Linked DNA regions of Mytilus edulis. The protein of the gene in region 3 purifies or fractionates together with the protein of the main gene of each other region. This does not show direct contact. Links are inferred from orthologs where the notes say so. Each region holds a gene or a part of one and is shown on either strand. Other genes may lie near its edges.

The links. The genes of interacting proteins can lie anywhere in the genome.
Region 1: the proteins of anaphase-promoting complex subunit 2-like (region 3) and cell division cycle protein 27 homolog purify together in Homo sapiens (affinity purification with western blotting; 20 studies listed by BioGRID and IntAct, with this or other methods). This does not show direct contact. The link is inferred for Mytilus edulis from reciprocal best matches to the Homo sapiens genes ANAPC2 and CDC27.
Region 2: the proteins of anaphase-promoting complex subunit 2-like (region 3) and anaphase-promoting complex subunit 13-like purify together in Homo sapiens (affinity purification with mass spectrometry; 3 studies listed by BioGRID and IntAct, counting the BioPlex papers as one, with this or other methods). This does not show direct contact. The link is inferred for Mytilus edulis from reciprocal best matches to the Homo sapiens genes ANAPC2 and ANAPC13.

Annotation. Positions count from the first base shown.
Region 1 is NC_092357.1:17,613,509-17,623,878, reverse strand, and holds the start of cell division cycle protein 27 homolog, read left to right. Parts: upstream 1-6,325; 5' UTR 6,326-6,431; coding exon 6,432-6,455; intron 6,456-10,370. UniProt on the Homo sapiens protein: Component of the anaphase promoting complex/cyclosome (APC/C), a cell cycle-regulated E3 ubiquitin ligase that controls progression through mitosis and the G1 phase of the cell cycle.
Region 2 is NC_092345.1:12,226,519-12,236,980, forward strand, and holds anaphase-promoting complex subunit 13-like, read left to right. Parts: upstream 1-6,417; 5' UTR 6,418-6,550; intron 6,551-9,450; 5' UTR 9,451-9,459; coding exon 9,460-9,687; 3' UTR 9,688-9,789; downstream 9,790-10,462. Other genes in the region: outer dynein arm-docking complex subunit 3-like, read right to left, coding at 1,546-1,706, 2,212-2,355, 2,626-2,874, 3,297-3,401, 3,839-4,018, 4,407-4,484, 4,952-5,073, 6,253-6,334. UniProt on the Homo sapiens protein: Component of the anaphase promoting complex/cyclosome (APC/C), a cell cycle-regulated E3 ubiquitin ligase that controls progression through mitosis and the G1 phase of the cell cycle.
Region 3 is NC_092345.1:6,934,033-6,944,345, forward strand, and holds the start of anaphase-promoting complex subunit 2-like, read left to right. Parts: upstream 1-4,141; 5' UTR 4,142-4,170; coding exon 4,171-4,245; intron 4,246-4,375; exon of another isoform or gene 4,376-4,413; intron 4,414-6,803; coding exon 6,804-7,248; intron 7,249-7,618; coding exon 7,619-7,724; intron 7,725-8,617; coding exon 8,618-8,750; intron 8,751-9,468; coding exon 9,469-9,751; intron 9,752-10,313. UniProt on the Homo sapiens protein: Together with the RING-H2 protein ANAPC11, constitutes the catalytic component of the anaphase promoting complex/cyclosome (APC/C), a cell cycle-regulated E3 ubiquitin ligase that controls progression through mitosis and the G1 phase of the cell cycle.

The DNA.
Region 1 (10,370 bases), on a different chromosome or scaffold from region 3:
AATGTAAAACAATTCAAACGATAAAACTAACGGCCTTATTTATGTAAAAAAAAATGAACGAAAAACAAATATGTAACACATAAACAAACGACAACCACTGAATTACAGGCTCCTGACTTGGGACAGGCACATACATAAATAATGTGGCAGGGTTAACATGTTAACGGGATCCAAACCCTCCCCTAACCTGGGACAGTGGTATAACAGTACAACATAAGAACGAACTATAAAAATTAGTTGAAAAAGGCTTAACTCATCAGATGGACAAAAATACAAGTGGACGTAATGATCTGTTTTACAAAATAACTCATGATAATTTTACTATTAAGTCTGTATACCATCGAGCTTGCATCGCTAAATATTAGCTACCAAATTTGAAGTGAGAAAGTAAAGAGCTATTTTAATCTGAACATAAAACAGCTTTTACTAACATTTCGACGATTAAAGATGACGTGCCTGTACACAAGGAAGTATTCTGGTTAACAACTTTAATTACTTAATTTATGCCGAGGATCGCCGCCGAGAAAACTAAATAACATATTATCAGCTTCAACAAATACTAAAAATATATGGTCAATTTATAGTTACAATGTACATGTATACAGCCTCAACAAGGCCAAGGTACATCCAATGTTGTATACAGTAGCTCTATAAATTTGTCTTATTCTTTTTAACTCTTTTTCATTTAGATTTATCATTACAAATGCACCGTATTTGTGGACACACCTTTGATAACTATTAACAAGTTTGACTGATCAACAGATAAGAAAAATTGAAAATGGGGCATACATTCTACATGGCATTATTTTTCTTCTGGGGGTCAAAATTTTATCCAAGACAATGTTAACCTAACTACAGAAACAATAAAAGTTCTGCATGAATTTGGTTGGTTAAAAGGCAATATCGGTCCGGTATGATGTTATCCAACTTTCTACAAGATTTGATCTGTTCACGCAGGGGGGAGGGTTGAGATTGCAAAAACATGTTTAACCCCGCCGCAATTTTGCGCCTGTCACAAGTTAGGAGCCCCTGGCCTTTTTTATTTTTGTATGATTTTTTGTTTTAATTTCTTGAGTATATTTCAAAGCTGAGTATGACGTCCATAATCATTTCAAACTAGTACATTTTTGTTTAGAAGCCAGCTGAAGAACGCCTCCGGGTTTGGGAGATTCTTGCTGCATTGATGACCCATTTGTGGTCGTCGGCCGTTGTCTGCTTTTTGAACGTGTTGGTGTCTCTTTGACAACTCCCTCATGTCCATTTCCAATTTTTAATTCAATCTGTATATAGTAGATCTTGTGTCCGCTTTGAGCAAAACCTCTGCTGTACTGGTATATGCCCATGCCAAGGAAGTTGTCTTTGTATGGATATTATTCCGATAAGAATGATGAGATAACAAGTTAAAATGAAGCTATAATATTCTGATATCGCAATATTTCGACACCTAAATGGTCATACATCCCATTGGTCCGACGTTTCGATCATTTAGGTTATACGCTAACGGGATTTTAACATAAGAAAGCCAAATAAAAGGTTCAATATTAGGATAACCTTGTCCTCCGTTTGAAGCGGTGAAACAAGATATAAAAAAGTAATACGTAGTGCCAAAGTAGCCCGAAGGTCATCACTAGCGTAATTTAAAATAAGTACAAACTTCTTTGTCAAGTGTTGTTTGATTAATAAGATATCTCAAGATACACGGCGGCCGACTAAAGTAAAATCAAACACAGTTTAACGTAACAATGAGTGGTCACATTTTCCTTGTGATGTTTTATATTAAAAATTAATTGTCAATTTGTTGATATAAATATACTAGTAGCACTTTACTCATTTTAGTAATGTTAGTTAGTACTCTTGTCATATCTGATTTAGTGATGTAAATGAAATTGCGGTATGATCCAGACTCAACATATTGCACTACAATAATAAAAAAAAATCCGCCCTATGGTTGTCTGATCTTGAAGCGGTTGGTAGGCTTTCAAACTAACAGGAGACCATACGCTTCCTGAATTTTAATGTACAGCTCATCATGGAACTTTCTAAACAATTAAAAATATGTCATATGTTATATTTTCCCCTTGCTTCAAATATTTTGCTTCGAATTATTTATATCAAATTTGCAGATATATGATTGTAAATACGTGCAATCAAATGATATGGAGGTATAATAAGATTTAGATAATGCAAGGGCGACTACAGATACATTTGTGTGACTTAATGGTTGATTTTCAAAGACTCCGAGAGAAAACGTTACGTAACATGCGTTACCGTTAAAATCAACCAACATTAATTAATACTATGATAGAAATATATTTCCCAACAGTAATACAGCATTCCTATAAAATTGTTTCATTTTTGTATTTGTTTTGACTCGATTTTTCTACTGGAAGTATCCGTGAATTGAAATTGCACCCATGACCTTTGACCTCGATTTAAAAAAAATGCACCATAATTTCTTTTGACGATCGACCGGGATATTTAGAAAGTACACATTCTTAGCTTTCCAGTGATATATAATTTAGCCGTGTGTTAGGTAGGTGCATTAAAAATGTGAATTTGGCTCTCATATCACTCGCCTATAGTGTATAGTGACACGTATATAAATTATTTGCATTTCTTTAAGATAATCAAATCATTGAAAAAGATCAGAGGCGGACTCGGCCATTTTTAAAAGGGTTGGGGCCACTGAGTGTTTATTACATAATACAAGAGATACGTTACCCCGAAATACTACAAGCACCAAAGTAAGATTCGTGCGTATTCGATCCGACGGACGTCAACTGTTTACCAGCGGCTCCTTGACCCTGTATAGATAATTACATCCTTAGTGGCACCGTTCAATGTCAACTTCGTAAACTTTGGTTTTGGAGAATCTAGGTCATCCTGCTTCGCCGACGCAATCTTTGCCAGCCAAATATCAGATATTGCGGGGAAGAGTGAGTGGCTATCTCTAATGGCTGAAATTATAGTTCTTACAGTAGCCAAAGCAATTCCAATACAGTTTATCTGCGACACATTTTTAAGTGGTTTTGTGTCAAAAAAATGTCCTAAAACTTTTGAATACGTGCATCCTCCAAAACAATAAATAAAAAAATAAATAAGTGCTAACAAATTCACTGCCCCGATGATCGATCCGTCAAGGCTTAATTATATTCTGCACCTTCCTGAACTTGCACTTTAAATTTATTTATAAACACATTTCCTACACCCGAGGTGCATAGTAGATGGAAGGCGATAGAAAATGGTATAAAAAACTGAAAAAAAATAGATGTATAAATATATATCTGTAAAAATTATTTAAACACGATTAAAAAGATAACAAAAACTACACGAAACCTATAATCAATTTAGTGGAATAAATGTATATGATTATATATGAAATATAAATGATAAGTGATGTGAACCTCAAAAAAAGTTTATCTGATTACAAGCAATCCTTGGTCTAATTTGTCTAACTTTCTCCATTTGCTTCATTAAGCATTGGTAAGGTCAGAATGTCCTTCTCATAGACTATATGTCTACCCACCTACCCTTTTTCAAAGATGTAATCGGAAACACACATATTTTGTGGGGGCCTAATAGAATATTACCCATTGTGGGATGGTGTATTTCCCATTATCCTTGGTTATGATATCCATTATGTTTATAAGATAAGGAATCTTCTAGAACAGTTGTTTTTGAAGTGGAACATTTGATTTCCAAGCCCGCAGAAATTGTTAAATGTTTAACTTTAACCATTTTGGATTAAAATTGTAGTTACTCTGAATCTCAGGCTTGTATTGTCCTGAATATGTGAAAAAGTTTTTTTTTAATCAGATAGGCATGGAGACTAAAATTCATTTGACGCTTTAATTTCTCTTTGTTGTAAAAAAAAAAAAAAAAGACTACCTACCTACCCACTTGTTCAACCTTTGGGTAGGTTTGGACAAATCATAACATTTTTAAGTGTAGCCTAATTAAACAGTGTACATAAATCAAAAAAAAATACAAACTATTATCTATATTTTAAAATCGGCAGTTCAAACAAACGAAACATAGGAAATTGATTGCTAAACTTGATATGAAATATTTGCTTAAAGTTATGAAATAAAATAACTTGGAAATTTACTCACACTGTCATTGACTGTAGTTTACCAAGTACTGCACGAAAATCGTAAATATAAAAAACGAATCACAATCTTTCTTCACATCTGAATCAATGAAACTGATAAGGGTACCACTGATAAGATTTTACACGTCATGTTTTAAACAGTGAAAGTACGTGTAAAATACGGGATTTGAAATATCAAAAATAAGTAATAATGACAAAAAATATTCAAGTTTGGTAACATCATGAAACGTACTGACATTTAACATGGTTAACTGTCAGGTTATGTAAGCGGCCATTTTTTTTTAGAAATAATGGGTTAATTGTAACACTTGTAAAACTGACAAAAAACAATGCCTAAATATGAAAAATACATAGTTCATAACCCTGTACCGATAATAATTGCAATGCTCGCCTTAAGCTATCACGTGCACTAGTCTTGTTCATCTTGACAAAATCTTTTAAAAACCTCTACGATAATATTTAAGTTTGACAATGTTTGAGTATTTTAGCTGACATATGATTTCTGATTACAAGTTTAATTGATTATACTTCATGTCGAAATGTATAATATTGTAATTAGTTATCTGTGTATTTCTCAGTCTTATGTGTTCTTGCATTTATTTGTACTGTTTTCTGTCATGTAAATTAATATTGTCATTTTAGCGGTATATTTAAAATTGCCATTAAGCGCGAGGTTTGGCTAGCCACAAAACCAGGATCAATCCCAAATTTGTTCTTAAAATACCAATTAAAAAATATGGAAGTTGTTATCTTATATTTCATATTTAGGCATTGTTTTTTTTCTTCCAAAACGTTCCGCACGGTCAGTTTAAAAAGTGTTACAATAAACCCATTAGTAAAGCCATCAAAGCTTTGGATGAAATTAATTCTAAAAATTGATACAGATACAGTTAAGTCGGCCTCATATCTTGACTTACATCTATAAATTGACAATGAGGGTCGGTTGAAAACAAAACTTTACGCATGCCAAGAAATCCTCGCTAAAAATTCCGGTCGACCTCCTACGGCAGTCATTAGTAGCTAAAGATTTGATTTCATTCAAGAAATTAATTTATGACCTTCATGTACGTGTCGCTTAGAACACGGCCATATACCAAATGGTCAATAATAATCATTCATGTAATTTGCTCTATGGGATATTTTCAGAATTTCAACAGAGGCAATTTCTTGGCATGACAAAAAAAGATGATTTCAGTTTTCCAATTGTGAACTTTCCATTTCTAAGTAGCAACATTCCAACAGCACCTGCATACGGGGTATATATCCCAATTTGCTTGTATCTCCTATCATGATTTTCTTGATAGAGGGTTGCTGCTCACAAGGAAGCTATTAAACCAAGAGTTCCAAATGGTGAAGTTGAAATCATCCCTTGGTAAATTTTACGGACGCCATCACGAGTTGGTTGACCGTTTTTGGAATAACCGTTTCAGCGAAATGATATCGGATATGTTCCTTACGTCGTAACTACAGTCCCCTTCCCTTTCATGAATGTGACCTACCGAATTAGACTATTTACCGGATTTGTTATCACATTAGCAACACGACGGGTGCCACATGTGGAGCAGGGTCTACAATGTGAATTGTTCATGGTTAGACAGAATAAAGACTGTTCTAAACGAATGCGGTATGACTATCTCTAATGTGTGGGAAACGATGATTGTGAAGTATTTCTATATGTTAAATTTCAACAGGGACTTTCTATACTAAAGTTAGTCAGGAACATATATACTATACATTAATATACTGTTTCCAGAGTTTGTAAAGAAAGTCCCTGCCGATTTCACTGATTACTCAGCTTTTGTGGACCACATGAAAACCGCGTCTGGTCAAGTTTTACCAATTTTGATCTTTGAACAAATATGTATTTTAAATGGTGAAGTGATTTTTTCCGTTAAAAAACCCCCCACAAAATCAAATATATACTTATAATTGAATACAACAGGGACCAAACAAAGTGGCAAAACCATTATCAATTAAGTGTTCGGTACACCCCCCTTTTTTCAAAAAATAATAAAAAGAAAATCACGAACTACAAAAAAAAAAAAAAAACGAAAGATGCAACACAGAACCCATATATCTTCATATTTTACTTTATAAGAATATGTCATGTTAATGAAGAAATTATACAAATATTTTTTTTAAAAGTTTGTAAAGGAAAATGTGTGTCGAAGGGAAACGAGCCGGGTCCCAGAAAAGTAACCAGTCTTGAATTATCGCCCCTGTGACCCAAATATTATTGAAATCGAGGCGGTTAAAAAGAATGAATACAATCAACGAAAGTGTGAAAGACAGGGCAAATAAAACGTAAAATAGAAGTAATATGTTACTTCAAGAACCCGTACAGGTATGAAAACTGACAATGCTATTAGATGACTAAATATACCTACCCAAAATAAGTCACATTTCCTGTAAATAAAGTGTATTAGAGCTAAAAAACAGAACAACTAAAAGTGACATGAATCCATATAAACAGGTGTCTTATTGTTATTCGTAGATTTCCTCCTTTTTAACGATTTGAATTAAATTCATTCAAAATTGAATTGGCACCAGCAGTGTTCACATGAAGAAATTTATTGGCATCAGAAATATATGATGAGCCTGACAGTCTCAACTGAACTTGAGACCATTGTCTTGATAGTTGGCAAGGACCAGTCTGCTCAGAAATTCAGCTTTTTTCTTCAAAATTCCCAATTGCAACATCCTATCAAATCACTCTCTCTACATGCAAATGAATCAGCAATTACACACATGATTAGTCTTCAAATATTATCAGTCTGGGGTAACCATGATCATGATAACAACATCAGAACATCAACAATTTTGATTTGTCCCTCTATAAAAAAAAGTCGCTGTCGCGTAAATTTGGCACCATGTTTTTTGTTAAAATTTTCTTGAATATAGACCGTGTTTACTAAAGAACATGTTTTTCAATTAGCGGAAGAAAAATCCTGTCCAAATAACCACTGCAGTCCTACCTTTTATTGTGTTTGCACTGTATAATCCTGACCTTCACATAATCCAGGATTATTTTGTATGGTGGAATCCGACATTGTTATTGCCGGAAGTGTTGCCGTGGAGTTCCACGTGCTCTCCATTTTCTTGTGTCTCTTGGAGCTTTTTGTCATCTTTATGTAAAAAGCACGGGAAATTGTATCATCAATGACAATGATCTTACTGGAGAATAACGAATGTTATGGAACAAGGGATCCTCATAGAAACCAAGATGGCAGTTTTACAATGTAAATAATCTTAAAAATTTGAAGGTCAGGATTATACAGTGCAAACACAATAAAAAGTAAGACCGTAGTGGATATTTGGACTGGATTTAACTTTCACTAAATAAAAACATCATCTTGAATAAACACGGCTGATATTTAAAAAAATTTTAACAAAAAAACATGGTGCCAATTTTACGTGATCGTGATGGCGACTATAGTCTAGTCCAAATATTCATGATATTTATGAGTCTTGCAATGCTATTTCAAATAATTACACAAGGCTATTTTGATTTTCTTCTGAGACATCTTTCTACGATGTCATAACGCTGAAGCCATTTTTAGTGTCTTCTGAAGGCTTATGGTGCCGACTTTAAAATCATTAATCCTCTGTATGCCGCATTCGTTTCTGTGTATTACAATTTCATAACAACTTCTGATTCCAGACATCGATTTTAATGCATGATTATGCATTTGAATCATTTAATTTGTAAATTAGGATTGAAAAACAATCACTATCGTAAATGTGTATCCTTTTATTTATGTTAATTATTAGATTTCATCTCTTCTACATGAACGTTATTTGTTTATTTGTAACCGGATGTTTTTACTGTAGATATTTGTAGTACGCATGCATGAATTTAGTATCGGGACAACTCGCCCTGTTTACATGTTCGCCCTTGAAGTTACGAATTTGCAATCTTGTAGACAAGAAGATTTTGTTTTTAATAAATAAAAGGGATCTATTTCTTATTAAATTGTTGTCTTTATTCATTGTTTTCCTTTGTCATGTGAATTAGATACCCTTTTACTTCAAATGGTTTGAATCTATTTATAAAATTATTCAAGACTCAGTTGACAAGAGCAGTCAGTACGTTGCTGTTGGGAGAATTTTTATTAAACTCTAAATGCTTATAGAATATGAAATATAATCTAAACTGAATGTACCTCCTTCTGAATAATTTATTGCAATATAAATATAAATCCCTTTTGATAAGAGAAATCTGACTTTTGTCAGAAATATTTTTTTCACATGTGCAAAGGTAATCACGTGTGGCGGCCATATTAGTTTGTTTACAAATTTGTTAAGAAGCCTCTAGAACCATGACCTAACCATAAATAGTCTTCCGAAAACTTAAACTTTATGCAATACTATTTTATCAATCATGATTATTTTCATAAATTTAAATTTGATTATTTAAAGAAATAAAATTATAACAATTACCATTTTAGATTAGAGATTCTCCACAGACATGCTTTGATCTATTTATAGCCAAATTAGTTTACCTGTGTGAAAATGTAAATAATGGATATTTAATTTGTTTACTAAACAAGTAAAGACAAACTATGGATGGGAGATAATAATTCACATAAATATTTCAGGACATTTGACTTATTTTAATAAATATAGGATTTAAAAACTGCAAGTGCAAACAAATTCAATCATTACATAATCAGCTGATAATTTTTTAAGCAACCATCGTGGTGATGTAACTGATAAAAAACACTCCATCAGTCCTCCAGCCCTTTCACATATTAAGCAATATATCTGCTTAATTATTATTGCAGAATATTCAATGAATATACATTCATCGTCTAATTGAATATATCGGGTAATCTGATATTTTTAGCTGACATTTTGGGTATCCGGTTGGCCGGAGTCTACTGTACTACCTTAAAGTAAAATTTTTAAGATTTTTAACTCAAAAGTGGGAAAATTCATTATATTTGGAACAACTTTTCTAAATGAGGGGTCAAATTAATAAAGAAGATATATAACATGTATAAGTTAAGAAACATCACAAAATTCTTTTGACATGTTTTGACCATTTAATACTTAATAGATGCATAGTTCTTGGGGAAAAGTTTCATCAAATAATATGAATATAAAGGTGCTCATTTTTTACAGTGGGTTGTAATGTTCTTCCAGTGAGGGTTACCCCTCATTTGGAGTGTTGTTCCCAACCTGTTAAAAGTCCATCTTTGTGCATAATTCAAAATTGGAAATTTCTACAAGCCATGATCTAATATTCTTACACAAATAGATAAACCCTGATCTGCTAGCTACTTGTTCATCTTTTCTACCGATTTAATAACTAGAATCATGCAAACAGACTTAAGAAAAAGACATGCAAGTTTATCATACAAATATGACACTTTTTCTAGACAATCCAGATCGTGCAAAATACTTTGCTAAAAATTGTAACGTTTGAAATTGTTGTTGCGCACTAAAAAAAACCATGAGAACTTTCAAAAGTTGGCGGGTATGTAACAAGTCTTACTATCTTTATGCCCCATTTATGGGCATTATGTTTTCTGGTTTGTCCGCCCATCCTGCTTCAGGTTAAAGTTTATGGTCGAGGTAGTTTTTGATGAACTTGAAATCCAATTAACTTGAAACTTAGAAATCGTCACATGTGTTTCTTATGATATGATCTTTCTAATTTACCGCCAAGTTAAACATGTTTTTACCTAATTTTCACAGTCCACTGAACATAGAAAATGATTGTAGGGATGGGAAATCCATTTACTTATGACACATTCTTGTTTGAAGAAAAAAAATACATCATAATAAAAATGGAACAAAGCAGCCAGGGTTAGTGGGGCTGCTTTTATGGTAATTCAAGTTACCTTTTATTCACCTTCTTCCACCTCAGAGCTATCAGCTCTTTGATTACATCTTGACTTTGAGAAAGAATTTTTCTTTGGGGGGGAGGGACCTTGAGAACAAATTTTGGCATGTATTCATCATTGCCAGCTAGTTAATTTTACACAGTTACAAAGTCTTACATGTACCTTTTTTGTGCTTATCGATGCAAAATATTCCAAAAATACCCAAAAGAAATGATAAAATAAGAAACGATTGAGGTTGGCAAATATTTATTTTGTTTTCAAAATGGTTTTCAAGAATTTCCAAGAAATGTCACTTCCAGTAAATATAAACATGATAAATGATTAAACTAGTAAAAATTTGATGGACCTGAATTTCAAGAACATTGAATTTTCAGTATCCATAAAATTCAGGTCTGTCAAATTTACCAAGT
Region 2 (10,462 bases), about 5.3 Mb from region 3:
CTTTATATTTTTGTATATTTAAATTAAAATGTGGTTTAACCCTTTCAACGCTACACAAAAAAATAGAAAAATGGCTGCTGCTGCTGCATTTTTTTTTAGTACATTCATTAGAACAGTATTTTCCTTTTCAGACTGCTGTATCTTTTTTATTATATGAGATACAGAGAAAGTTATTGCATGAAAAATGCTCAGGAGAGCATGAACTGTAATGTTAGGCAATTATTTTACTGAAATTTTTATCAGGTTACCTGCGTTTTCAGGTAATTAACAGGTAAAAGGTGTAATTTATTACATTTGTGTTGAATTTTGAATAAAAACTACTTTTATAGTCTTCATTTATTTTGTTGTTTTATCTGCCATATTGTAAAGAAGACACCAGTTGCCCGATTCCGTAGCGTATTGTACCATACATAACGTTTTATGTAATCGTGGCACAAATAAATAGCTCCGTCCTAAAAAAATTCAGTCAACCTCCGTTTTCCCCCCTTTTTCTACGTCTCGTAATGATCGATCAAATCATATTTCCCACACGAATTTTATGTAATAAACACATTGAGATAACAAGAAACCTTTTAACTAATCCTCGTTGTAAGTTTCGCCAAGGAAATGCTGAAATTTTTCCATATTTACAGCTTCGTTTCCGATTTCCGCCATTTGCATTTGTCAAAATATTTGTTTTTATTTTCCTTCTATTTTCCTTCTACTGCATGATTTTACCATAAAAATTGTCGGGATTTCAAGCGCAAATGAGACCTTGCATATCCTAGATTCAAACGAGGAAAAATTAGAGAGAACCCAAATGAAAACCGAATGGTTTAAAGAGTCCTTATGAAAAATCCTTTTTCATCGCGGCATATGCCGCGAATAGCAGTGGCGAACGGCGTACGTCATCGCGGCATATGCCGTGTATAGCGTTGAAAGGGTTAAAACAACATTAAATCTAAATGCAATGAAAGATTGTACCAGACAAAAAAAAAAATTCATGACTGAAGAAGCTAGAAAGATAATGTGACTTGTATATATCTTAAAGATAATGTGACTGGTATATATCTTAAAGATAATGTGACTGGTATATATCTTAAAGATAATGTGACTTGTATATATCTTAAAGATAATGTGACTGGTATATATCTTAAAGATAATGTGACTGGTATATATCTTAAAGATAATGTGACTGGTATATATCTTAAAGATAATGTGACTGGTATATATCTTAAAGATAATGTGACTTGTATATATCTTAAAGATAATGTGACTGGTATATATCTTAAAGATAATGTGACTGGTATATATCTTAAAGATAATGTGACTTGTATATATCTTAAAGATAATGTGACTTTTATATATCTTAAAGATAATGTGACTGGTATATATCTTAAAGATAATGTGACTTGTATATATCTTAAAGATAATGTGACTTGTATATATCTTAAAGATAATGTGACTGGTATATATCTTAAAGATAATGTTTTGAATATTTGGCTTGATAATTTTAAGTGGAATATGCCGTCCTGATTCAGTCTTGGCTATTTACTGCCATCATACCTTGATAGTTTAGCATCACCAGAATATTTCATTTCTTCAAATTCTTGTTGTAATTTCTCCTTATCCTCCTTCAGTCTTGTTATACCCTTTTCATTGTCTTTCTGTAGATTTTCAAGATGTTTTGTGGTATCTCCTTGGTTTTCAAACCGCCTTACAACTTCCTGTAAACATTTAGAATCAATTAAAATTTTGTTTGTTTTTATTGAAAATCTGTTAATGTATAAATTATTTTCTAAGTTTGACTCACTTGCTTCTTTTTTATTTTTATTTTATTAAAAAAAGTAATAAAAATCTGGATACAAAACAGTTTTATCAACAAATAATTGACTATTTTTGTGTGGCATGAATAACTAATAAACTGTTGGATGTTTGTTATATGTGAATAACTGATGTATTTAATGTTGTCGTGTGTTGAAACTTCATTATTTTTATCACTGAAGTAGGACTTAACCCTATATGTTCATTTGCATATTTGTGATACCTCCAGACATTTTTTTTTAGAAGACCATAAATGGTTAAATGCAAAATTTAAAGTTTTAACTGGTTAAAAATTAGTCATGAAATTAAGAGATGTAATCATATTTTTCTCTTTTCTTGTTAACTGAAAATCTACAGTTAAAATCTTTAACAAATGGTCCCAAGTAATAAACTGAGAGTATAAATTACCATAGTATCAGAAACACCAGTTGCTTCTTTAATTCTTCTAAAAGCTTCCTCATATGATGTAATCTTTTGTTGTTGTTCTTCACCCTGTAAGGCCTGTTTCTCCTGTGGTGTTAGTTCATCTTGCTGAATAGAACCTCTCTGTTGCTAAAGTGTAAACAATTTAACAGATGTACATATGCATAAAAAAATTCTCTGTAATTCACATCGAAATGAAATTATTAAATAAAAATTTGGAAATTAACAACATGTCTTTTTTTCAAGTGATAAATCTTTCATTATCTTGTTTTTGGCATGTATAGTTGTAAAATACAGATATCTAGAAAGTTCAAACTATTCTTAAACTGAATAAGAAATTACATCTGACAAAAATAAAGTTTTCCTAAAAATGTATCTTTCAAAGGGAGATAATCTTACAATTCTTCTTTCTATTCTTTCATGTTGTATTTTCTTTTCTTCAGCCTCTTTCTTCATTTTCTGTAATTCTATTTCTCTCTGTTTCCTTTCTGAGTATACGATCTTTTCATGTTTAGCTAATTCTTCCTGTGCTGCTGTTTTGGAAATCTGAGCATCATCGTGCATGGCTTTGAGTTCCTTCAGTTCTGCTTTGACACTTCTGATTTCACATTCCATTGAGTCCAATACACTTGGGAATTTTTCTGCTTCCTGTAATAATCAAAACATCATAATTCCTTTAGTCAATAATAGACTTGAAATAAATGAAATTAAAGTGGAAAAGTTTTTTTCTCTCGAAGTACTGTTTCCTTGTAAGCTGCTGCTCTCCTATGTGACTATTTTTCTGAGAATTTAAATAATACACAACATAATGCCAATGCTCGGTAGAGTTATTGTTCTTTTAATTTAACTGACAATTCTTTTTGTTTATAAAAAAAATCAGTATTTTATATCTTCTGAAATACTTGTTTTTCTAACAATAGACAAATTAAATTTAACATTTTGAATATTGTCTTGAAGGTTAGAGATCGAGTCAGAATTTTTTTTTCAAAAAATATTACAGTTCACTTGAATATTAATCACTTAGCCATAACCACTTCATTACAAGTTGGTAAACATTTTTAAACACTTACCACACATAATTTTCTATTAATATCCTGGTAAATCCTGTACAAATGTGTGGCTTCATCCATCTTCAGTTTTGTTTTGTCATAACTGTTTTCAAGGTATCTAAGAGTCTGAAAAATAAAACCCAACAAATATATTATCTCTCTTTGAATGTTTTATCATTGAATTTGCACATTACTTAAATAAAGATTTAAAAAAAAAGTTTAACTATGTGCAAAAATGTATACTTCATGTACAGAAGGATGCAAGATGTTATTTTAAGCTAAGAAAAGTTGCTAATAAACCAGAATTATAATTAAGTAAATGTCAAATAGATATAAGATGTGGTACAATGTATGAGTGCATTCAATGAGACAGCTCTCCATCCAAGTTGCAATTTGTAAAAGTAAAATATTATAGGTCAAATTATGGTCTTCTACACTGGAGCCTAGGCTCACCCAACAGCAAAGAATGTTACACATATACATGTATCATGTATATATAGGCATTTTTTTTCAATTACAAAAGTAGTTTATGTATAGCATGAAAAAGCATATAAGTAATTTACCTGAGCATCAACCGATTCTCCTTTATCTGTAGAGACAGCATCAGCAGAGTCCTTCTGCATCTGATCATACCTGGTCTGTAAAATCTCTATCTTCTTTTGTTTCTGAGCAGACTGATGTTTCAATGCATTTAGTTTCTTCTTTGAATCACATAATTTGTGTTTCATTACTGTAATTGCTTGCTACAAACATACAAATAGAATGTCAATATTTCATATTTTTGTAGAGTCAATGTGAAGCTGGCTTCATATTCCATATTTTTTTTTAATTTTGTATACATATAGGTTTTGAAATAGAGGCCTTTTATAACTTAGGATATAGTGTAAGAGAATTATTCATATTTTTTAGAAATGGTGAGTCCCATGACAAACATTAAGTAGCCAAGTGTATTCTGAATCTCAACAAGAACATCTATGTGGCTTTAAGTTGTCAACTTCAACAGGTCTCTATAGATTTCATGTTGATACATATTTTGCAAACAATCTTGTATAGTACAATGCAATGATGGTCAGCCACATTTTTAACTATCATCTGTAAAGTTGTGAAAGATATTTTACAATTGATACTTACATCTCCAGTTTTATTTTTGAATTCAGCTCTCTGTACAGGTTTGTCTTGGAAGGCTTTATTAATGACATGCTGATCTTGCTGCAATTTAAAATAAAATATTAAATTTTTACAATACAAATAAAAGAGAAATAGTGAATCTATAAACATCATGAAGTAGAAGACTGTGTTAAAGACAGGGTTATCTCACACGTCAAACAGTAAGATAAACAGTTTCTAACTTGTTTGAGTTTGAGATGAAATCTCATTATTGGGTGACAGTCTTGTATATTTTTTTTTTTATAGATGTCTAAAACTCTGATGATAAAGTCAACAAAGTAACAAAAATAGATGGAACTGAAAATTCAACAAACAAGTTTTACAGTATACAATGTTGTGCTGTGAAATATATTCATGGCTTACCATAATAATTTATATGAAGCAAATTACCTGATGGTGATATAGCAAGTTGATTCATTTTACAAGTAAGAACCTCATACACCCAACCAAAAGATGAAAAAAAAACTAGAATACTTTAGGACGAGGTAATGAATCTATGTTATACTTACAGAGAGGGAATCACTAAGTTTCTTTCTTAATTCCTTATCTTCTTTTCTCAGTTTTGTGACAGTGTCTTGATTGTGTTTCATAGCATGTTGAGATGTCTCGTAATATGCCTTTCGATCACCCTCTACAAAATTTACATCGAACAATTATAAAACAACATTAAAATGAAACTGGTAATTTCTTTGTATGTTTATAAATTAAAGTTTGATAAACAGAAGGATAAATATTTTGGGTAGTGCTGGGATTTGATATAATTTTCTTACATATATATATAGAGGTCAAGTGGGCATCACAAAGCCTGAAAGATTTTGATGAGTCCAGGATGCATGTAATTTTTTGTGTCATAAAAGAATGAAATATGACGAAATACAACTTAAACGATGCATGTTAGGTTGGTAGTTTTTATTAATTTTTTATATCAATAAAAATTATGACCTCTCAATAGTTATTGTTCAAATATATACATGTAACAGACATGTTGGTTTGCCAAAGCCAGAGTTCCATAAAAAAGATTGGGGCAATAGCCTAGGTAGGGTTTTAACTTTACTTAGAGTAAAGTATACACCTACCTTATCCCTAGAAATCGGTTCTTCTTGAATTTTTGACTACATACAATCACTTTCCATCATGGTGTCAGATATTTTCTATTATGACGTCAAAATTTTAGGGGAACTTTTGTGATGTCCAGTAATGCCGAAAAAAAATCGATAAGGTGTATAGTGAAGTTTTGGCATTTATTTATTTGAATTTTACCATTTTCTGTTTCTGCCAGACGTCATAATTATTTGGAGGCGTCCCAGAAAAAAATTAAAATAGCCTTGCCAGACGTCATAATTATTTGGACTAGTCATTTACCAGATAGCTGGGCCAGGGATCACCTATATCCCTGCACTTTTAATGTTCATCAAGCATCTTAGTGATCGACATAGTCTTACTGTCATAGTACAGGATAAACTAGAAATAATGATTTATCTGTAGGTACATGTACTTAATCACAATTCCTTTATGACAGCAGTGCTGATTGTCAATTATGATAATTCAATTTGCCGAAAATTATTCAAAATAATTCGTCATGTTCAGGATGTTCGTGGGTTTCGAACCGTCGAACTCGAAATTTGTCTATTCAAATCTATTTCAAAATAAATTAAAAAAAAGTTCAACTTCAATAATTTAGTCATGCCTTAAGAATTAATAAAGTGCATATCGGAGTAATTTCTGTGCCGTAAACATGGCCATATTATCAGATTATAGGTCAACAATAATTTTTGGAATTGAATGACAATATTGTTTAGTCTCGTCTTACCAAGGAGTGCGATCTTTGCCTTGAGTTCTTCAATTTGTTCCTGGACAGGCCGCTGCATTACGGCGTTTCCTCCAACCGGCATCTTGATGATAACAGACGGACAATCTTTCGCACAGTTTGTTGTCCTATTTTAAGTTTCAGTTTGTTGGTGCGTCTCCAAGGTGCCCTCAAAGTGCGCAGGTCCAAGTGGAGCTAACTCGACATGATTTATTATCTCCCTTGAACGAAGAATACGAATTACATTGTTTATATTTTTAAGTTTATAGATATAAAGTATTACGTGGAGGAATAAATAGTAGTAAGTACTGCGAAACGGTCCCTGCTAAAATTTAGTAAGGATAACAAAACTGAAATCAGTTGTTGGCAAAATAAGAATCAATTGACATAAAGAAGAGAGAATATGACAAATCGCCCCACTTTTTTACCAACTCGCCCCACTTTTTTACCAACTCGCCCCACTTGTTTACCAACTCGCCCACTTGTTTACCAACTCGCCTCACTTTTGTTTAGGAAAAAAGGGTAAAATCCCATTGAAAATACATGTAGGCTAGATAACTTTTATGATAGCTCCATTTATGAAGGACAAAAATCCCGCTGCCAACTCGCCCCTCTTATATACATATAAAAAGATGTGGTATTATTGCTATTGAATGAGACAACTCTCCATCCAAGTCACAATGTATAAAAAGTTAAAGGAGAAAAATTAACGGGATTTAACCCTTTTCTCAAGTGGGGCGATTTTTAAAAGTGGGTCAAATTGGTAAACCAGTTTGGTGTGATTTTTTTTAAAAGTGGGGCGAGTTGGCAACTAGAGGCTCTCAAGAGCCTGTGTCACTCACCTGTTACTGTATTTACTGATGTCGGCCATCTTGGTTGGCAGGCAGGGTCATTAGACACTTTTTTAAAATAGATACCCTAGTAATGATTGTGGCCAAGTTTGGTTAAATGTGGCCCATAGTTTTAGAAAAGAAGATTTTTGTACAAGTTACAAAAATGACGAAAAGTTGTTCAATATTGACTATAAAGGACAATTACTCCGTAAGGAGTTCTCTGACAATTTTGGTCATGTTGACTTATTTGTAGATCTTACTTTGCTGAACATTATTGCTGTTTACAGTTTATCTCTATCTATAATCATATAATAGTATTCAAGATAATAACCAAAAACTGCAAAATTTCCTTGAAATTACCAATTCAGGGGCAGCAACCCACAATCAGTTGTCCGATCCATCTGAAAATTTCAGGGCAGATAGATCTTGACCTAATAAACAATTAAACCCCATCAGATTTGCTCTAACTGCTTTGGTTTTTGAGTTATAAGCCAAAAACTGCATTTAACCCCATATGTTCTATTTTTAGCTGTGGCGGCCATCTTGGTTGGTTGGCCGGGTCATCGGACACATTTTTTTAACTAGATACCCAAAAGATGATTTTTGCCAAGTTTGGTTAAATTTGGCCCAGTAGTTTCAGAGGAGAAGATTTTTGTAAAAGATTATTAAGACTTACGAAAAATGGTTAAAAATTGACTATAAAGGACAATAACTCCTAAAGGGGTCAACTGAAAATTTCAGTCATGTTGACTTATTTGTAAATCTTACTTTGCTGAACATTATTGCTGTTTACAGTTTATCTCTATCTATAATGATATATATATTCAAGATAATAACCAAAAACAGCAAAATTTACTTAAAATTACCAATTCAGGGGCAGCAACCCAACAACGGGTTGTCAGATTCATCTGAAAATTTCAGGGCAGATAGATCTTGACCTGATAATCAATTTTACCCCATGTCAGATTTGCTCTAAATGCTTTGGTTTTTGAGTTATAAGCCAAAAACTGCATTTTACCCCTGTGTTCTATTTTTAGCCATGGCGGCCATCTTGGTTTGATGACCAGGTCATCGGACACATTTTTTAAACTAGATACCCCAAGGATGATTGTGGCCAAGTTTGGTTAAATTTGGCCCAGTAGTTTCAGAGGAGAAGATTTTTGTAAAAGTTTACGGACGACGGACGCCAAGTGATGAGAAAAGCTCACTTGACCTTTCAGGTCAGGTGAGCTAAAAAAGTGGGTCAATTTGCCAGTGAGGCATTAAATATTTTATTGAGCTTCCATCTAGAAAACAACTGTCAACATATATGACATATAACCAGTCTTTACGATGAAATGTTAAATCTACAGGCCCGGAGCTCAATTTTTGAAAATTTTTAGTTAGATTCTGTTGGCCTGTAAATATGATTTTTACAGGCCCGAGAGCAATTTTACAAGCCTGGGCTGCCACTCAGCGTGAAGACTGATATACATGTAGCAATTTTTAGCATTGACATAGAATTTGGTGAAAATGCTGTAAGCTGTTTTTATAAAGTTCTAAATTTGAGTCAAATTTAGAACTTTTTTGTCGTAGATGAGGATCTACGATTAGAACAAATCATTTCCACTATAAAATATGTCATGTATCATTGTATGCGACTCATAAAGTTGAACAACAGAATTGTGCTGAACTTTCTTCATTATTTGTTTACCTATAAATAATTTAATACCCTGTCTTTTACAGTAATCAAAAAGTCATTCTTTTGATAAAGTAATGGATTCTTCAATATATAAATGTATAACAAACACAAATTAGAGTTATCAATATGATTAACGATTAATCAATTTCACAAAAATCCTTCATTTGTCAGTTATCTTACCCATTCAATGGCATCAATATCACTGTTGTGTAAAAGAGTAAAAAAAAACACTTAAACATCTGAAGCAACAGATAGGAATAATAATCCATCTGGTAAAGGTACTCCTGCTTGATTTGACAAATATCGGATGCATTTGTCATGTCCGTTGTTTTGATTGCACATATAAATTGCCTACACACAAATGTCATGTATTCGATCATTAAATACAATATAACAAGTTGAAATTTAAGTGTATATATATATGTCAAAATGATAGAAATCTTTATATTTTTTGTGCTCACAAGCAGATGGATTATCTTATTTTATTATCTTTGTGCAGTGAAGCTGACTTTGATATTTTGTAATTCAGGACTGAAATACAGCATAGGGATCCTCATCTCTAAATTTATCAAATTGATTTGTTTTGAATAAGAATGCTTAACTTTTTAAATATTTATTTTTCAAACTTTTATTATTACTTGATGCATATAAATCTAAAAAAAAATTCTTAATGTGGCTTTTTTGTAGACAAATAAAATGGACAGTGAAGTTTGTCGAGATGGAAGATTAATGGACTTAGTGGATGAAGAATGGAGAAAAGATAAATTACCAATGGAAGATATCAATGTTCCACAAATGGAATTACCAGAACTAGAACCAGATAATGGACCAACCAACGAGACACTTACTGAACAGGAACAAAAGTGGACAGACTTAGGATTATCAGTCTTACATGAACAACCACCAACTACAACCAACAATTAGATGAATAAGAATAAATCTTGTTTCTTGAATGATTATCAAATCATCATACATGTGATAGGCAACAAGGGATCTGTTGGACAATGACAAAGATGATGAAATTTTGCTTGGATATATACAATGTAGCAGAAAATATACAGTAAACAAACATATAAATTTCAGCAATATGTATAATAATTATTGAACTGTAAATTGAAAAATATGGATGACTTTGCATTTGTTTTCATGATCAATACTTCATTGAGACAAAATGGATACATGTGCATATATATGTTTTTTTTGTTTTTTTTTATCATTTTCTTCCTGTAGTGTTACACATGTATAGTACAAGATATATGAATTAAAAAAAAAATCAACTAATTTAAATTGATTATTCACAAGTTGATTATCAGCACCAACTGAAAAATCTGCAAAATTTCTCTAATATTGTGAAATCAGAGTGAGGAATACACCTGTAGTGAAATAAGCTGACATTTTATTAAAGTTTTAAACCAAATGTTTAGAGATGTCTTACAATTGAAGGTCTTTTCACCTGTCTCAAATTATCTTTAGAATAAAAATATAAATCTTGCACTGATTCCAAGCATACAAAGTTTGTGATACTTTTTTTGTGAAATAAGGAGATATTTAACAACTTCCAGTCTTCTACATGAGTGATTACATAAACTTAATAAAAGTCAGACAGACCTTAACACCTTACAATTATTCAATACACCAAATTTAGCTGGCCTATTGCTTTTAGCATACAAGAAACAGACCAATTAACCATGAAATGAGG
Region 3 (10,313 bases):
CAGTTTTTGGCTTATAACTCAAAAACCAAAGCATTTAGAGCAAATCTGACGGGGTAAAATTGTTTATCAGGTCAAGATCTATCTGCCCTGAAATTTTCAGATAAATCAGACAACCCGTTGTTGGGTTGCTGCCCCAAAATAGGTCATTTTTAGGAAATTTCACCGTTTTTGGTTATTATCTTGAATATAATTATAGATAGAGATAAACTGTAAATAGCAATAATGTTCAGCAAAGTAAGATCTACAAAAAAGTCAACATGACCAAAATGGTCAGTTGACCCCTTAAGGAGTTATTGCCCTTTATAGTCATTTTTTGACAATTTTTCGTGAAGTTTTGTTATCTTGTACAAAAATCTTCTCCTCTGAAACTACCGAGACAAATTTAACCAAACTTGTCCACAATCATCATTAGGGTATCTAGTTTAAAAAATGTGTGGCGTGACCCGGCCAACCAACCAAGATGGCCGCCACAGCTAAAAATAGAACATAGGGGTAAAATGCAGTTTTTGGCTCATGACTCAAAAACCAAAGCATTTAGAGCAAATCTGATAGGAATAAAATTGATTATCAGGTCAAGATCTATCTGCCCTGAAATTTTCAGATGAATCGGACAACCTGTTGTTGGGTTGCTGCCCCTGAATTGGTAATTTTAAGGAAATTTTGCTGTTTTTGGTTATTATCTTGAATATTATTATAGATAGAGATAAACTGTAAACAGCAATAATGTTGAGCAAAGTAAGATTTACAAATAAGTCAACATGATTGAAATGATCAGTTAACCCCTTTAGGAGTTATTGCCCTTTATAGTCAATTTTTAACCATTTTTCGTAAATCTTAGTTATCTTTTACAAAAATCTTCTCCTCTGAAACTACTGGGCCAAGTTCATTATCAGGGGCGGATGCAGGAATTTTCGAAAGGGGGGGGGGTGCTAACCCAGGGAACCCAGGGAACCCAGGGCAAAGGGGGGGGGGGGGGGTTCAAAACATATGTCCCGATACAAATGCATTGATCGGCAAAAATAAGGGGGGGTGCGCACCCCCGGAACCCCCCCTCCCCCTGGATCCGCCACTGATTATAAATAGAGATAATTGTAAGCAGTAAGAATGTTCAGTAAAGTAAGATGTACAAACACATCACCATCACAAAAACACAATTTTGTCATGAATCCATCTGCGTCCTTTGTTTAATACTCACATAGACCAAGGTGAGCGACACAGGCTCTTTAGAGCCTCTAGTTTTTGTTGCTGTGCAAGCAACTGACTCTTTACAGCGGTAGAAACCAGATCATGGCAGTCACTTATCATGACAAGTTAGAAAAATGTATTGCGGCGGGTTATATAATTATTTTTTATCGCCAAAACGACATAAATAAATGAAATAAAGTTAGTCTGCAATCTTTTTTAAAACAAGTTGGATCTTTTGCTAATTGATCTTTATCAAAACTATTCCAGAGATCACATAAAGGTTGACATTTGTCAGAATATAACATGTCAAGGTTAAAATTACCAAGCTCATTATCACATTTAAAAATGATAACATCTTATACAGTAATTAAAAAAAACTATTCGGAAAAAGTATTTGCAGGCGTGCACTAAAGGTTAATACACTACCAACTATTTATTATGATTTAAGTTCACCTCTATTGTCTTACATGTTATCTGCTGGACGGAATATCTGTTGTTTATATGATGGAAAGAAGACCAACGCCGCCGGAATTTCTATTAGTCGTCGATAAAGTTTATACCAATCAGCTTCAAATATAGCCTGGGGTCCTGGCTAATCTTGTCAGTATGACGCGCAGCTAGATTGGGCCGGATCCCAGGCTACTTCAAATAAACTATCATAACACGATATATAAAAAAGAAGATGTGGTATGATTGCCAATTAGACAACTCTCCACAAGCGACCGAATAACACTGAAATTAACAACCATTGGTCACCGTACAGCATTCAACAATGAGCAAGGTCCATACTGCATAGTCAGCTATAAAAGGCTCCGAAATGACTATGTAAAATAATTCAAACGAGAAACTAACGGCCTAATTTATGTACAAAAAATATATAACACATAAACAAACGACATGTACAACCACTGAATTACAGGTTCCTGACTTGGGACAGGCACATACATACATAATGTGGCGGGGTTAAACATGTTAGCGCCGGGGATCCCAATCCTCTTCTAACATGGGACAGTGGTGTAACAGTACAACATAAGAACGAACTATAAAAATCAGTTGAAAAAGGCTTAACTCATCAGATGAATAAAAATACAAATACTACAAATACAAGTTAGCATTACAATGACAATTCCGACCCATATATACCTGGCAGTTCTTTCTCTTGCGAGTACAGCTGTTTCCTGTTATTTACGAGGGTATGAATGCTCCCAGGCTTGTTTTCGGCTACCATTAGCGTCAAATTGGTTACTATTGGCTTTACATTGTATCATAGTTCAAATTATTCGTTCAGTGTTTGTTTTAACCTGTGTTAATTTGTCTTTTTATTGTGTTAGGCCATTTTAATTGATATTTTAGTGTGTCTTCCTATGTTGTGATGTTACACTTTTGTTTCAGATAAAGGTGAAGGTTGGTACCTATTTAAAAGTTTAAACCCGCTGCCTTTGTTTGCATCTGTTCTAAGTCAGGAATTTGATGTTCAGATTATGTCGTTTGTTGATGTGTTAATTTAAACATATTTTATTGTTCAAAATGACATAAGGATCAGACACAAGTTTTACAACTTAGTAGCGTCTTCTCCGAATGATGTGTTTCATAGGAGTTTCTCGTTTCTCGTTTCTCGTTTTTATATATAGATTGGACCATTGATTTTCCCGTTTGAATGGTTTTACACTAGTCATTTTTTGGACCCTTTATAGCTTGCTGTTCGGTGTGAGCCAATGCTCCGTGTTGAAGACAGTACTTTGACCAATAATAATTTCCTTTTACAAATTGTGACTAGGATGGGTAGTTGTCTCATTGGCACCCATACCACATCTCCTTACAACTAATTCAGGTGATATGGGGATCTTCGCCATTTTGGATTGTATATAACGGAGAACCTAAGGTCTAGATTTTCAATCAAATTAGCAAAATTTGGTGAGGAATGCAGATCACTTATAATGTGAATTTTCATTTAAAAGAATAGATTTATAATATTTCAACTGATACATATTTTTTTCAACAACTCGGAAATAGTGTATTTTCTGATAGAACTTTGGCAGGTGTCATCTGACCTTGACCTCATTTTCATGGTTCGGTGGTTATAGTTAAGTTTTTGTGTTTTGGTCTGTTTTCCTCATACTTTATGCAATAGGTCTAATATATTTGTTGTATGGAATGATTGTAAGGTGTACATGTCTAGCGGGCAGATGTCATCTGACCTTGACCTCATTTTCATGGTTCAGTAGTCAAAGTTTAGTTTTTGAGTTTTGGTCCTTTTATCTAATACTATATGCCATAGGTCAACCATATATTTGGTGTATTGAAATATTTTATGATCTTTATTTCAGTTGGGCTTGTTTTATTTGAGCGTGACCTCAATTTCACGGTTCATTGTACAGTGTTACGTTTTTGTGTTTTGGTCTATTTTTCTTAAACTATAAGTAATAGGTTAACTATATTTGTTGTATGGCAGCATTGTTAGCTGTACATGTCTGCCCGGCATGGTCCATCTGACCTTGAACTCATTTTCGTGGTTTATTGGTCTCGTTTAGTTATCTTGGTTAATGTTTAGTTTATGTGACAGTTGTAATAAAGCTTTATACTTAGGTCTATCAACATAATATCAATGATAAGTAAAGAAGGGGAGACATTTCAGTGTGTGCACTCTTGTTTTTATATAAGTTGGTATTTTTTAAACTTTATTTTGAATTAAAAAAAAAAGTTTGCAGGTGGAAAATATAGTATAGATATCAATAAAAAAAATCACACGGCAAGTACACCACTCCTTGAAATTTTCTCTTCCAGACAATATGATGAAATTTTCTCTTTCCAGACATATGATGAAATTTTCTATTTCCAGACATATGAAAATCAGTAATGATAACTGTTTGTTACATTGAAATCGAAAATTCAGAAGTTGAAAACTATTTTTAACTTTTTTTTGTATTCCAAACCGTTCCCGGAGCCGTAGCAATAATTTTTACCCAGATTGGTCAATAAGCCAAGATGGCGGCAAATGTTGAACTTGTAAACAGAGCTTGGACTGTTTTAACAGACACTTTGACACCTGGAGAAAAAAAAGTAGCAATTCTTTTTAGAGTTAAAATATTTGCCATCCTTTTACTTAGGGGTCAATTTACTTTACGGTGTTGGTAAGGTTTCGGGGGTAAGAGCCGGTGTTATCTGGTTTAGATCTGGTTATGGTTGGGGTTTGTTTTCTAAAATATAAATCTGTCTGTATCTGTAGTGGTACGTGTAGAATCCTTTTTAGGCTTTTATACACGGTGGAGAAGAGTGCTGTTGTTATGGGCAGTGTTCTTGTAGAGCGGTCTTAAATGCTTCTACAGAACATGCATGCACAACTTGTTGGTTCCAGTGAATAGTTGTTTCCACAAAAAATTAATGTTTGTACTGTGGTTTGTTGCCGGTAGGTCGTTTCACCACCACACACCGCCAAACACCACTGAACACCCCAAAAGTTTATTATTTTGTCTTTTAACGTTATAAATGTGACTTAAATATAACTTTCAAGTTATTAATTCAACAAATCACAAGATTTAGAGTTCAAATATTAATTGTTTCTTCTTCTTCTATCTCTATAATAGTTGTACCAATAAGGCCAACTAAAATTAATTAGTAGATTTACATCCAGATTTTAAAAAAAAACTGGGGTGGGTGGGAGGATTTTATTTTTTAAATTTTATTTCATACGAAACCCTCTTGTGTCCAGTTATTAATACCGCAGGGCGTATAGGCAAGTGTTAAATAAGCTTATATCATGTACATAATTTTTCAAACTCTTGAATAAATATCTCTGATTGGCAACCACTGTTATACATGTAATTACAGCTTTAGAAACTGGCCTATATATAAACATAAAAAATGTAGAGAAACATGAGAAATGCTCTCTTCAGTTGGACTATACCAACACCAAATTCATTTTGCTTTCTAAGCCATTGTGTGTAGTAGTACAAATGTAGGCAACACATGTATTATGAGTACAGAATAAAATGAAAACTCAAACAGTGTTGAAAGTAATAGGTTTGGTGCTAGAGCAAGATATTGTAAATCATGAACTTAACCAAAAAGAAGTTGTTGTTTAATAAATATATTGAGGGTATTGGGACAGAGGGTGTTTGCTGTTTATCAACAAAAAACGACAGCCATATAAGGTAAATGTAAAGGCTTGCTGTAATGACATGCGTATGATTGTAGACTTTTGTTTTAGCTCAATTACATACGGTCATAAATCTAACAAGTTAGTGCTTATGTCAATTTCTTTAATCCCTTCATGATTTTGTACCAATGTGTTCCATGACTCTTGCCCTTTGGATATGCCCTTTGGATATCATTCACAGTCCAATTTTCTGACACAAAGTAATTGTATAAATAAAAATAAAAACAGTTTTCTAATCATTTGTGACACACTGCCATTTGCGTTCTTAGACACAGCTTTTTACTCGTAATCCGAATATTTCATGCCTTTCTCGTATTCAATCTCTATTCTCGGTAGATAATGATGTCATCATAGAGCAGCAGAATATGCCGACTTAATCATTTGAGATAACTTGAAGGAATACAACACCAAAATTTGAAACAGGAAGTTTGAATGCAACGAAATTATAAATGGTTACCGGTAACGGACATGAAAAAAATTCGGAAATCGTAAATTTTTTAAATAAAAAAAATCGGGGCGGGACGATTTCAGAGGGGCGGCTGGGATGAAAATCTATCAATTAATTTTAATTGGCCTAATAAGAAAAGAGACTTATGTCAAAATCTAACCGAGAACAGAGATCGAAGATACTTCAACTTATTACTTATTATGAATACATTTGAATTTTATCATTTTAATAAAATACACAATGTAATCTGGAAGGTGATGAATCCAGAGACATTTTTCCTTGTATTGATTATCGATTTTAACACAAAAATGATGCCTATAAAAATCTACAAATTGTTTAATTATAAGTGATTAATAATTTGTTTTATCGTTTTATTGTATAATATCACAGTTTCTCATAGTGGTTGGTGGTTTTTGGGGTGTTCGGTGGTGAAAAGACTCACCCGTTTGTTGCTAATTGATACTTTAAGTCCTCTGGTGTTATTGTTTACTTGACGTTCAATAATATTGCCATATGTGTGTGTTAAATATATCATAATGTAATCGTTCTTTACAGCGATATGGTCTAGGATATATGACCCTAAAATTATAGTTTGGTATTCTTTCTATTTAACACATCATACATGTCATAGTTGAATTATGGGGACCCAGGGGTTGTGGGCTCCCTTTATGTACACATACTATGATGTAGCTACAAATTTATTATGACAATGTACATACATTGTAATTTTAATTGTTACCTGTTATACACCTTATCACTTAAGGCTTCATTAAAATTTTGGCATCATAATACAAAATATCTGAAGCCACAATGGAAAAATGGTTGTTACATATGCAAAATATATGTTCAGACTGGCACAGATCTAAAAGTTGTTTAGTTTGCGAGCAATCTGTGGAAAAAAATTCAATGTAAAAAACAATTACATTACTATTTGAAATGAAAAAGTTTTGAGTTGATACAAGGGTGTCATATATATTCAACCTTTATCTTACTTTATTTATTTGAATTTTTCAGACTTCCCAGGCATATATCAGTTCAGAAGTTGAATTCCAGAATGCTGTTGAAATTCTATGCAAGCAAGATTTAGGACACATCATAGAGGAATGGTTTCTGGATACTTTACAAGAAGATTTGCGACAAAAAGTTGGTCCACAGTTCTGGAACTACTTTTCTATACAGCCAAGTGAAACAGACCAACTTCTTGAAGCAGTTGAATATTTACATAAAGTGACAATGGACTATCTCCCCTGTATTCAAAGACTTGAATCCACAACCCAAATAAAACGTTGGAGGAAGTCATCCACCTTATTTAATACATCCTCATTGACAGAAGCTTTCATACTTCTAATGAAATCAACATTGTTTTCCATTTTTCCTAGAACTTTCCAAGAAATAGTGAATAAATTTTATTCAGATGCATTTAAAGTGTTTCATCATACAACAACTGAACCTGATCAAGGTATACATGTACATGTTGTATTTCTAGTCCTTAACTGTTTACTGGCAGCATATATATGTCATGTATATAGATGTTATTATAAATTATCTTTGATAATCTCAAGGAGATTGATTTTCTTGCTTGAGCAAAAGTGAGAAAAGCAATCTCATATCACTCAACTAAACTGAGAAAGGAAATTATCAATCAGTAAGATAAAAGGAAAATTTCATAAACTAGCAATAAAGTTAGATACTTTTTATTTAAAAATCCTTTATTTTGCAATAGTACAATAATTCATTTTTCCTTTTTCTTAAATTTTCTTGGAGAACTAAAGGGTATGTGTCTTTCATTTAGAAGCTTAATCTCTTATCATTTACTTTTTGTATTGTAGACAGTGAAGATGATGAAGAAACCAGCTGTAAAGGGTGTGAACAGCCCTCAGAGACATGCTTATGTCAACACATAATGTTGAACTTCCATAATCTTAACAGAAAACTGTAAGTGTAAACAGTGACATGCTCAGGTTCACACATAATGTCTTACTAAGTGTAAACAGTGACATGCTCAGGTTCACACATAATGTCTTACTAAGTGTAAACAGTGACATGCTCAGGTTCACACATAATGTCTTACTAAGTGTAAACAGTGACATGCTCAAGTTCACACATACTATCTTACTTCCACATATTCTAAACAGAAAACTCTAATTGTAAACAGACACATATTCACTTCAATAAAGTGATATCATTACTGAATAATCACTTACAAAAAGTCTCAGGATCAATGATACCTTGACACACTTAAAAACCATGTGAGCTATTGTAAAAATTTGAAGTGCATTGTCATGATCCCTCTGTTCCTCTGTTGTAAACATTTAATAAAATCTTTCCTCTGAAACTACAAAATGTTACCAAACTTTTCTAAACTGTTTCTTAGGGAATCGAGTTTAAAATGGTATCAAGGAATTTGAACAAACAACAAACATGATTGATGTTGGTAAATAAGAAGATAAGGGTTAAATTCCAGTTTTTGCCGTATATCTCAAAACCTATTAAAAGCAGTAAGAGTAAAACTTAAATATTAAATTTTCTTCAAATGTTAATTTGAACAAAATTGGTAGTTTGTGAGTGGATATTATTTTTAAAACTATTATAGAGAAAAACTTGAATTATAAAATCATGAAGTCAATAATGTGTACAAATATTAAGCCACCCATGCTGAAATTGCCAAGTGCCCCCTTATAGCAGCTATAGCTCTTGATTGATGATTATTAACCCTATAGAAATTATACCCCTGAGTGACTATTTTTGCTCTTTTTTCATTTTTGTCACAAATTTTAATAGGAACATTTTGAAGTTGAGACTAATTGTTTACTATTTGAATATTTCAGAGATGACATTGGTATCCTAGAGAGAGTGTCTGGAACAGCTGTCACAAATATTGTACATGAAAGAATAAAGACATATGTAGAGAACTCCTGCAAAGGGAACTTTGAAACATCTTATATTGATATATTGGAAACAGTATGTTATATAGATAAAAAGACATAGAAAACATATCATAGACAAGAGAGACAATTACCCAATCAAAGAGCAGAGAATAGGCAAAGGTCACCAATAGGCCTTTAACACTTTGCGAAAATCCTTCACCCTGAGGCGACCTTCAATTGACCCCTTAACAAAAATGTGTACTAGTTCAAAATAAATGGATGTCATACTAAACACCAAAACATATAAATGAACTAAAACTAATAATCATACAAGACTAACAAAGGCTAATGGCTCCTGACTTTGGACAGGCGCAAAGGTATGACAGGGTTAAAAACGTTTAGTGAGATCGCAACCCTCCCCCATACAGCTAGGGCCACACTTAAAAAATTTTAGGTTTGCCCAAACCCTGCCCAACATTGAGACAGTGTAGGTATGCATTTTCTTTCTTTTTTGGCAAAGAGAAATTTAAGTAGCAGATGTTTATTAGTCTTCATGCCTATTTGAATAAAAAAAAAAATCACATCAGGGCAATAAAAGATTTTTTGAGTAGGCAGCATTTCTGAGAGTTCCTAACTTCCTGGTTTTTCACTTTTTTTGGTGATACATTATGGTAAAAGCATGAATTGTCTAGTTTGCAGTAAACAAGAAAATACTATTCATTGATATTTGTGTAAATATTTACAATATGTACTACATGTACATGTACTGTATTAAAAGTTAAACTAAACAATCTTTTTCTTTATGTTGACAGTGGTTAGATACAAAAGTTCTTGGTTGGTTGCACCTGGTTTATTCGGGTAACAGAACACACATATACTCTGACTGTATTGATGGATTCAAAGGGAGACTACTCCATTTCTTGTATGAGTCTTTTGCAAACATTCAAATTGAGCAGCTCTTCAATATAATCATAGAATTTCCTGAATCTGAACCAGCAATATTAGATCTTAAGATGTGTTTAGAGAAAACTGATGTGAGGACCCAGTTGGTAACATCACTGAAATCAGCATTAGAAACCAGACTTTTACATCCAGGTGCGAAACATCAGGCATTTTCCTGCATCAGTTTAGGACTGTAAATATTGAATAACAAATGATAAAGCCCTTTTTGGTAAAAAAAAAAAAAGGGGCCCAATTTTGTAACTTTTAAAAGCTATGGTGGTTAAAAAGGTTAGCCACTATTTCAAAATTGCTTATTTGACTGATTGAATTACCTATGTTTATTTAAGGAGGCTCACAGGTACAAAATTTTCATGTTTTTTCATTACAAATTTTATTTATAACACTATTAGTATAACTTTATGATATGGTACAAAAATCTACCAAAAAAATTGATTCAGTTTGGCCCCAGATGACAATTAAAATGGTTTTATCATTGAAAAGCTCCAAATTATCTCCCTTTGGTGTAAAAATGTAATTTTTTGGCATTTTGAAATTGAAATATCTTATTTAACTCATCGGTGATCTATATTTTTTATTATTTTTTTCAAATAAGCTGTACATAAACTAAATAATTGTAAAATTTAAGTGATTTCTGTAATTTGGTTTTTTTTAAAGCAATTGCTTTTATGCCGTCGCGTATGGCCATCTTTGTGAC